2 linked regions of the Coturnix japonica genome follow. The protein of the gene in region 1 purifies or fractionates together with the protein of each later gene. This does not show direct contact. Links are inferred from orthologs where the notes say so. Each region holds a gene or a part of one and is shown on either strand. Other genes may lie near its edges. The genes, in order: SDC2 and CAMKV.

Region 1 (4,464 bases):
ACAACCTGTTTGTGCATGACGCCTGCCAGGAGTAGACCATTGAAAATCTGCTGAGATTTCAGCAGTGAATGCAGCCTAAAAATCAATGACACGGCATGTCTGGGAGGTAGGTCTGGAAATAGCATGGCCAGCGCTGCTGAGAAGTATCACGTTCCTGGCAGTGGGAACACTCAGGACGTGGCCACCTGCCCCATGGGGACATGAGTCCCGCTGCTCCCCAGGACACAGCCGTATCACCGGCATGTGTGGGGTGCCTTTGTCTGGGAGAGGCTGGGAAGACGACAGACTGCGTGTGCTTAATTAACCACCTTTGGTTTTGTTTTTCTGTTTCCATAGCAGGGACTGGAGGCAGATGGGATCTCAGCACCACTCAAAGGCCAATGCAGGTAAGGCGATGGGCATGGAGAAGCACCTGCACTGGGATCCTCATGCTTCTTGCTTCCATGGGGTCCTCTGAGTGGGACAGGCTTGTCTAAGAGTGATCATTATGGTCCTTGTGACTACCTTAGTTTGGCTATAAACACAGCCTGAAGCTCAGAATTGAATCAAATGCAGTTGGTTGTAATCAAGAGCAATATTTCACCTTCCTGTGTCCAGTGACTGATGTAACACATGGATACGCTTGGCAGTGGAAACGCACTGGCACAGGTACCCGAGTCAGAACGATGCTCCTAAGCTCTGCAATACTACCACTTTCCCTGCATGATAAACACCATGGGCCAGTCCCAGCAAGACCTCTTGGCTTCGCTTCTGGAGTGCGCATCCTTGGTGCTGTCAATATTTGTTTTGAAGACATTCTTCCTGGCTCCATGTATGAGACACAAATCACAGCCACTCTCTTATTTCCTAAAAGTTTCAGGTCTTCTGAGAAAAGTCTGGGAAAAAAAGCAAACCAAAATGAGCTGCCATTTTGGCACCCATGAGCCTCATCCTTTTTGTTTCCCAGCACCTGATTGCTGCCTTCTAGGTAACTGGGGGAGGATGTGAGAGGCAGCGCGGCTCGGTCCGGCGGTTGAGGACACAGAGCAGAGGGAAGAATTCCCTTGAAATAAATAAATAACTATATGATAAAAAAGCAAGCAAGCAAACAAACAAACAAAAAACAGCAGAGGGAGACTTTCCAGGTCCCTGCTTCTATCCGGGTCCAGCCCTCTCATGTTTTCCACTGGGGGGGAGGACGGCAGAGTAGAGGATAGAGAGGGGGCGGTGGTTATTTTTTTTGGTGGAGGGGAAGGTGGAAAGTTGCTTGAATTTGCGAGGGGCGAGAGCCGGCGGCGGAGACGCGCCGCCTCCTTCCACTGGCTGGGGGAGCTGCCAATCTGTGTTGTAATCCTGCAGGAATTTCTGCGGGGTTTAACTGGGAGCCGCGCTGCCGCTGCCGCGCACACGGGGCGGAGGGCGGGAGGGAAGGAAGGAAGGAGAGGAGCGGGCGGCGAAGAAGAAGAAGAAGAAGGAGGAGGAGGAGGAGGAGAAGGTAGCAGCAGCAGCAGCAGCAGCAGCAGCAGCAGCAGCAGCAGCAGCCGGGCAGCGTTGTGCCGCCGGGCAGCGTTGTGCCGCCGGGCAGCGCGGAGCTGAACGCCGACAGCAGCGGAGCGGAACGGGCCGGAGGGCGCCCGCGGCCCTGCCCCGCGCCCCCGGGCGCTGCCGAGCGCAGCGGCCCCGCTTTCTCCTTTGTGCCCGGCCACAGGCGGCCGCCGCGCCGGCTCCTCGGGAAGAATGCGGTGCGTGTGGCTCGCGCTCACCCTCAGCTTCGTGGCCTGCGCCTCCGGGCAGCCGGTGAGTGAGCGAGCGGCAGGGCGGGGGGACGGGACAAGGACGGGACGGGGGCGGCCACCTGGGCTCCGTCCGCAGCGCTGCCCCCGAGGAATGTCCTCGATAGGAGCAGTGGGAGCGCCCCTCCAGACCCGACTTCACCGCGACGCCCCGACCCGAGGAGGTGCGGGTCCGCGTCCCCCCGGCGGCGCCTTCCCCCTGTTCCCCGCGGCTCGACAGGCTGCTACGGAGGGCACCTAATGAGTTAATTGGCCGTGGCTATGCGGCTCGGTACGCGCCCCATGACCCTCGCTTCCCCGCGGGGTGCGCGCCCATCCCGGCTGCCCTCCCCGCCCGGGCTGGCTGCGGATAATGCCGCTGTTTACGCTTCTCGCAGCCACAAGTGTCTCCTCTGAGCGGGGAACTCTGCTTAATGCAATTAACTCCGTTGTCGGGATTTGTACCTCCCGAAAAGCCGCTCCTCTGCGCAGCGCTCCCGCCCCGCGCTGCGGGCGGATCGGGAGAGGATTCGGGCTTCGCCGGCGGCGCTTCGGGACGGTGCCGGGGCGGAGGGGGATGGAGGAGGAGGAGGGAGCCGAGAAAAGAACGCGGTTACAGCGTTGGGACAAATATTAGGAAATAATAAATGGAGGTTTCAGTCCGAAATTAAAATACCGTGACAATTTAATCCAATTAAAATGAGCTGCTCCACTGAACTAAATAATGTCACCGGCTCGGGTTCGCTTTTGAAGTTGCCTGGCTATTGTATAAATAAGCCCCGTCGCAGCTTTCGTGCGGTCCGCCTCATCATTAGTGATTCCGAAGGATACAATTGCAAAACGCTTTTCTTGAGGGCTAATTAAGACCGAGTTGTGTCGAGCCCGGACTCCCGTTCCCGCTATGCGCGCTCCCCCTTGCTGTATGTTTTAGTTTCATAGGAACGCTACTGTTACGAAGTTCTCTGATGGCGGAGTAACTGCAACTGCCACAGTCATTAGTTAAGTATTAAGTTGGATGGTTTTGCCTTGGGATGAGCAGGCTCCTGCGGCTGGAACGGGGGGAGCCGTGCTGCCGGCCCTGAGCAGCGCCCTGACTGCTGCCAGAAAGTTGTGGGCAGATGGGAGAGGTGAAGGGAGGTGGATTTTTCTCCCCCCTCCTTTTTTCCTCTTTGGCGGCAGCTACGAGGTCCTTTAAGGAGGAGTTTTGTAGACTGGTGTCTGGGAAAAGACGGATGCTAAATCTTGTCTGTGCAGAACGCTGTCCTGGTCCTAAGTTGGATTTTATCTGGATGCTTACAACAACCCTGCAAGCTTTTGGAGTACTGACAAATGGTTTTAGCTCCTAAGTTCTTTTCCTTTGTTTGATTCTTGAAGAAGTATGTCCTGTGTTTGCTTCGTGTAACTACCAAGCCCCGCTATTTACTGGGGTGGACCCCGTTGGTGTTAATCACGTTAAAAACATACTGGGAATGTAGTAGGGAGCTGCGTGTCTGTGTGCCCTGGTGTTGGCTCTTGTGCTGCAGATGTACTGTGGTGTGCGGTGTCAGCTTGGCATCAGGATGCAGAGGGTGCCGGGCAGCTGTACCCTGTTGTGCCTGGCTGCAGGAGGTGGCAAGTGCCCACATCAGAGCTGGCAGATGGCACTGGGCTCACAGGGTACTTCGCTGTGCAGGGGGAGATGCTGGATATCAGTGGGGTCTGGTAACATCAGCAGATGTGAAGGCACTTTGAGACTCACCCAGGCTTGGGTGAATTGTGGAAAAGGTGTTCTTTCTGGTTCCCTTTTAGGAGAGGGAAAGAGAGTGATGTGAAAGTGCTGGAAAAAGAAAAGGCCAGCTCTCTAAGTGTGAGTCAGGTGTGTCTTTTATGAGGTTGGGTTCAGTCTTGATGATAGCAGGAGTCAACGCTTGCTGATTTTAATAGCAACAGAGAGCAGTGCCAAGTATCTCACTGTCCTTGTCAGTTCCCATTCTGCCGAGGCTGATAAACCTTTCTGCTTCTTTCTGCTCCTCATCAGTAGGACTAATGGCTTTCCAGGGCTTGTGTGATGCTCTGATCCTCTCCGCAAGCCAAGGTGGGTGCAGGGAAGACTTGCTGGCAAACAGGTTTCTGTGTGTGCTGCACTGTAATCCTGCTGCTCTCACAAATGGGAGAACAGTCGTGGCTCTCCTCCTGTGTAGTGGTGTATCTTGAGTCAAAGGACTCTGCTTCATGCCAACTCCCCAGCACTGTGTGCGTAGTGTTCTTTAAAATAGAGCACTGCAGCACCAACATCAACTATGTGGTCTGTCTGTTCCTTTTGTAAGCATCTAAGCACTGGATTGTTGACATATACGCTATTATTGAAGGATTACTTGGGTAATAATTTGTGTATTTTTGAGAAATATTTAATATTTTGGAAGCACGGTGCTGTAATTTTTTCTGCATTTGTTTCTAATCATTACTTTGCTTTTGGAATCTGGAAAATGGATCCCATGTTGGAGAGGGTGAATGTTTGTTTTGGTTTTCAAACACGCAGCTTGGTTTTGGGGATGGTAATTACAGGAGGAGAGAAAACTGCTGAAGAGATGGCTGATGTTTCAGATTTACATTCTGTGAGTGTCTCTCCTAAGCACGTTTAAATGTGCATTGCCAAGTAAATTCCAAAGAAAGATAGGAAACTTTTAAGTCTTGATTTATTTCCACCCTTCCTCAGCTCACGTGGGCTGCTGCT
Region 2 (4,401 bases), on another chromosome or scaffold:
GCCCAGGCTGAGCCAGGGCTGGAGGCACTATGGGGCCCAGAGCTGTTCTGCTGCAGGCACAGAGCTCATGCCAACAGGCAGAGCAGTGCAGCACAGCACCGTTCTGCCCCTCGCGCATACAGCATCTGTGGGGCAGCCCCAGAGCAGAGCGGGCACTGCTGAGTAATTGTGAGTTACACTCCAGGATCCCGGGTGGGCAAAGATTAATAACAGAGCCGTGCGCTGCTTCCAGGCTGTGTGATTAAACTCTTGATTAGAAGCTCAATGTACGGCGCTCTGCTAATTCCCCCGAGCTCACGCGCTGTTAATTACATGGTGTGCGTGGCAGTGAGGCCGGGGCTGTGGGGGCTCTGGGTCTTGACAAGGGTCTGTGAGCAGTCAGGGCGAGAAGGACGGAGCCTGAAGGAAAGTGCCCAGCTCCAGCAGGGTTGCACTCTTCCTATTCCATCCCATTCCATCCCACCCATCTTTATTCTGTTTAATCCATCCCACCTTGTGCTGTCCTATCCTATTTTATCTTATCCTATCCCATCCCACTCATCCCACCTTGTCCCACCTCATCCATCCCATCCCATCTAACGCATACCATTCCATCCCATCTCTTCCACTGTCCTATCAGATCCTGTCCTGACCCATCCTACCCATTCCATCCCAGCCATACCACTCATCCCATCGCACCATCCCATCCACCCCATCCTATCTCATTCATCTACTTCCATCCCATCCATCCTATTAGCCCCATCCCAATCATCCCAATCCATACCATCGATCCCTCTCTATCCCATCACACTCACCCTATCCAACCCCTCCCAATCATCCCAATCCATATTATCCATCCAACTCCAGCTCATCACATCAATCCCATCAAATCCATCCCAATCCATCCTATCTCCTCCAAATGTCCTGTCCCGTCCTATCACACCTCATCCACCCCATCCCACCCGTTCTGATCCATCCCACCCCATCCTGTCCCATCCTACGCACACCATTCCATCCATCCCATCCCATTACACCCATTCCATCCAACTCACCTCGGTCCATCTTACTTCCTCTGTCCTACCCTGACCTGTCCTTCCATATCCCATCCATCCCAACTCATCCACCCCATCCCCTCCATCCCATCCCATCCCATCCATCCCATCCCATCCCATCCCATCCCATCCCATCCCATCCCATCCCACCCCACCCCACTCGCTGCCCATGATGTCACTCCGTTGGCTGCAGCTGTCCCAGCGCTCCATCCCTTTAGGTGTCCCCGCATCCCCCCACCCCTCGCGGTGTCACAGCGATGCCACGCACCCCACTCCCGTGGGTGGCGGCTCCCGCACCAAGAGGGGGCGGGTCGCAAAGTTTGGGGTTACGTCACGGGAGGGGCGGGGGGACCCCACCGGAGGAGGGGCGGCACCCGGCGGCCCCACCCCCCCCAATTGCCGCGCCGGGCGCGCGGGGCCGCGCCGCGACGGAGCGACGGCGGTGCTCGGCTCGGCTCGGCTCGGCTCGGCTCGGCTTCGCACCGCTCCGCACCGCCCGGCACCGCGCGGCTCCCCAAGAGCGGCGGCCCCGGGCCGCGCCCCCCGTTGCTGTCGGAGAGGCGAGAGGTGAGCGCGGCGGGACGGCCCCGGGGGGATGCCGAGCCGAGCCGGGCTGAACCGTGCCGCCCTCGGGGCGTGGGGCTGCTGGGCCGGGCCGGGGGCGTCGCTGGGGATCGCCATGTGTTGGCCCGGGGCTGCCCCTCCGTATCCGTGCCTCATCCCCCCGTGCCGTGCCCGTGTGCGCCCCGACGGCCGCCCCGCGCCGCCCCCCGCTGCCGCCTTCCCCGACCCCGGCGGGCGGCCGAGCTGCCGTCCCGTCCCAACCCCGCTCCATCCCCGTCCATCCCATTCATCCCACCGCATCCCGTACCACCTCATCTCGTCCCGTCCCATCGCATCCCACCACACCCCACCCCATCCCATCGCTGCCGGACAAGCTTTGTATCCTTCCCCGCCCGCTCTCCGCTGCTGCAGCCCCCAGCTCGCTCCTGGGCAGATGCATCCTGGTTGGGGGGCACCGGGCTGTAGGGACCCCCCGGCCCCGTCTCTGTCCGCATCCCAGGAGCTCCCTTTGGGTGCAGCGCTGCGGGCTCCCGTAGCCCCTCCACTCTGCTGCCGCCCGCACTGTGGACGCTTGTGTCCGCTTTCCTCTGCTACAGCACTCTCGTGGGATGGGGGGTGCGGCGGGGACCCTCTGGCAGCGCGGCTGGGGGCTGCAGGTGCGAGGGGCTGCAGGTGAGGCTGGCTGAGCTGCAGCTGGGGGTCCCCGAGCCGTGGGGCAGAGCTGAGCTCCGGGATGCTGGGGGGATGCTGGTGAGGGCTGCACGGCTGCGTCATCCCGTCCGCACCCGGCCACCCACCTCCCGCTATTGTCTTACACCCGCTGTTGCTTCTGCTCCCAAATTAGCTGCTTCAGAAGGGGGGGGGGGCCGGCTGCGTGCGGGTGCCAGAGCAGCATCCAGCCTCCCTGCTGCGCCCAGCTCTCACCTGCAGGACATGCCGGGGATGCTGACCCGGGGCAGAGGACGGTGCTCAGCCCGGCAGGATGGCACCCGCTCAGCCAGCAGGAGCTGCTGGGATGGGCGCAGGTCAGCCGAGCGCTTGCAGAGGCAGCAATCAGATCCCTATCTGTCATCCCATCGGGTCCCTGCATGGCTCATCCACGCAGCACGCCGGCAGCTCATCATCCCAGCCCTCCCAGCCGGCCACTGGCTGCGGGGACAGCCCTCGTCCCCTCGCCCAGGGGCAGCGGCACGGCACAGCCTGCGTTGTGTGGCACGGGGACACTCGGAGGAGTCAGGCAGGGCATGTCCCCTGTTGGGCTGAGCCCAGGGAAGCCAGGGAGGCTTCAGCAGGTCTGTAGCTTGGGGTTGAGTTCTTCTGCACCCACGGGTGCTTTGCTTCTCTTTTGGGAGTGGGCGCACTCTGAGTGCGATGGGGCCGGCTGCTCTCACCTGGCACAGGCTGATGCCCTGGTGCTGCACAGCGAGGGGCTCCCATCCCGCAGGCAGGGCTGGATGGAGGCAGCGAGCGCACGATGGAGCATCCCCACACCCCTGCATCTCTGTCCCCACACCCCCCTCGGGGTCACCCACCCCAGGGATCATCCCTGTGCCCGCACATGGTGCCACAGACAAGGCCCCCATCGGGGGTCGGCGCGGCATTGCCGGGGCTGCGCAGCGCAGCAGGTCGGGTGCTGCGGGTGCTGCCCGTCCCTGCCCCCGCCGCAGGATGTGCCGCTTTCTGCATCTTCAGCTCCCATCGCCATAGCAACAGGCTCAGCGCTTGGGTACCCGCCGCGCCGGCTCCTGCATCCCGCTCCGCCATCCTGCCACCGGGACCGGGGCGGCGGGTGCTGGCAGCGCGGTGCGGTGCGGCACGGCACGGCTTGTCATCCCGGGAGCTGGGGGCGATCGGTGCCTCAGGCACCACACCAGCATCCCGTTGGACGTCCCGCTCAGGCTGAGCGGGGCCACGGAGCCCTTCTCTTCCTGAAGCATCAGAAAATAACATCCGTTCAAACTTCCTCCCTGAACGGGATGGGAAAGAGGAAAAAAAAATCACTTTCTGGGAACGGGTTTTTTTGGCAGCAAGCTCCAGAGAAGGGGCTGGGATTGGAGGGATCCTGCCAGGAAGGCAGAGGGCACAACACCATCCCCGAAGGGCAGGGTGGCAGCATGCAGCAGGCGATGCTGGAGCTGAAAAAGCATCACCACAGGGCAAAATGGGGCTGAGGAACCAGTCTACTCGCCACACCACCCGGCGAGCTGCTCATGGCTCTGCCTATGGAATAGATTTGTTACCAAGCTGCAAAGCTGGTGGGGCAGAGCGGCCGGACGCCACGGGGATGGGCTGCACTCTGTCAGGTTTTATGCTGCTCAGGAGGGATGGGTGCGGGCAGCGGGGCTGGGGCTCTCACGGCTCCTCTGCCTCTGCAGCACTGGGCCCTGCGATGCCGTTTGGCTGCGTGACACTGGGGGACAAGAAAGACTACAACCAACCGTCCGAGGTGACCGACAGATATGACCTGGGCCAGGTCATCAAAACGTGAGTGCATCCCTGCCCAGCCCCAGGAGCGCCCATGGGGACCCCCACCCTGCACCTCTTGGGGAGCGCGGTGCCTTTGGGGCTGGGGTGCGTTCCCTCCAACGAGTGCTGATTCCAGGAGGGTTTTTGCCGTCTGCTCTGAGCACAGAATCGCTGCCGGTGCTGAGGCTGCTGCTGCTGCTCGCCGCAGCCTGGCGCCTGCGGTTAACCCTCCCTCCTCCCTCTCAAATATCTGCTGGGATTGCAGCAGTTCCTCAAAATCGCGGCTCCCCGGTGCACTTCCCCAAGGCAGGACCGTCTGCTCCGGCGGTGGCGGAGGAAG

Evidence for each region.
Region 2: the proteins of SDC2 (region 1) and CAMKV purify together in Homo sapiens (affinity purification with mass spectrometry; 3 studies listed by BioGRID and IntAct, counting the BioPlex papers as one, with this or other methods). This does not show direct contact. The link is inferred for Coturnix japonica from reciprocal best matches to the Homo sapiens genes SDC2 and CAMKV.

Annotation. Positions count from the first base shown.
Region 1 is NC_029517.1:114,934,414-114,938,877, forward strand, and holds the start of SDC2 (syndecan-2), read left to right. Parts: upstream 1-1,452; 5' UTR 1,453-1,716; coding exon 1,717-1,776; intron 1,777-4,464. UniProt on the Homo sapiens protein: Cell surface proteoglycan which regulates dendritic arbor morphogenesis.
Region 2 is NC_029527.1:1,485,344-1,489,744, reverse strand, and holds the start of CAMKV (caM kinase-like vesicle-associated protein), read left to right. Parts: upstream 1-1,478; 5' UTR 1,479-1,598; intron 1,599-3,970; 5' UTR 3,971-3,984; coding exon 3,985-4,079; intron 4,080-4,401. UniProt on the Homo sapiens protein: Does not appear to have detectable kinase activity.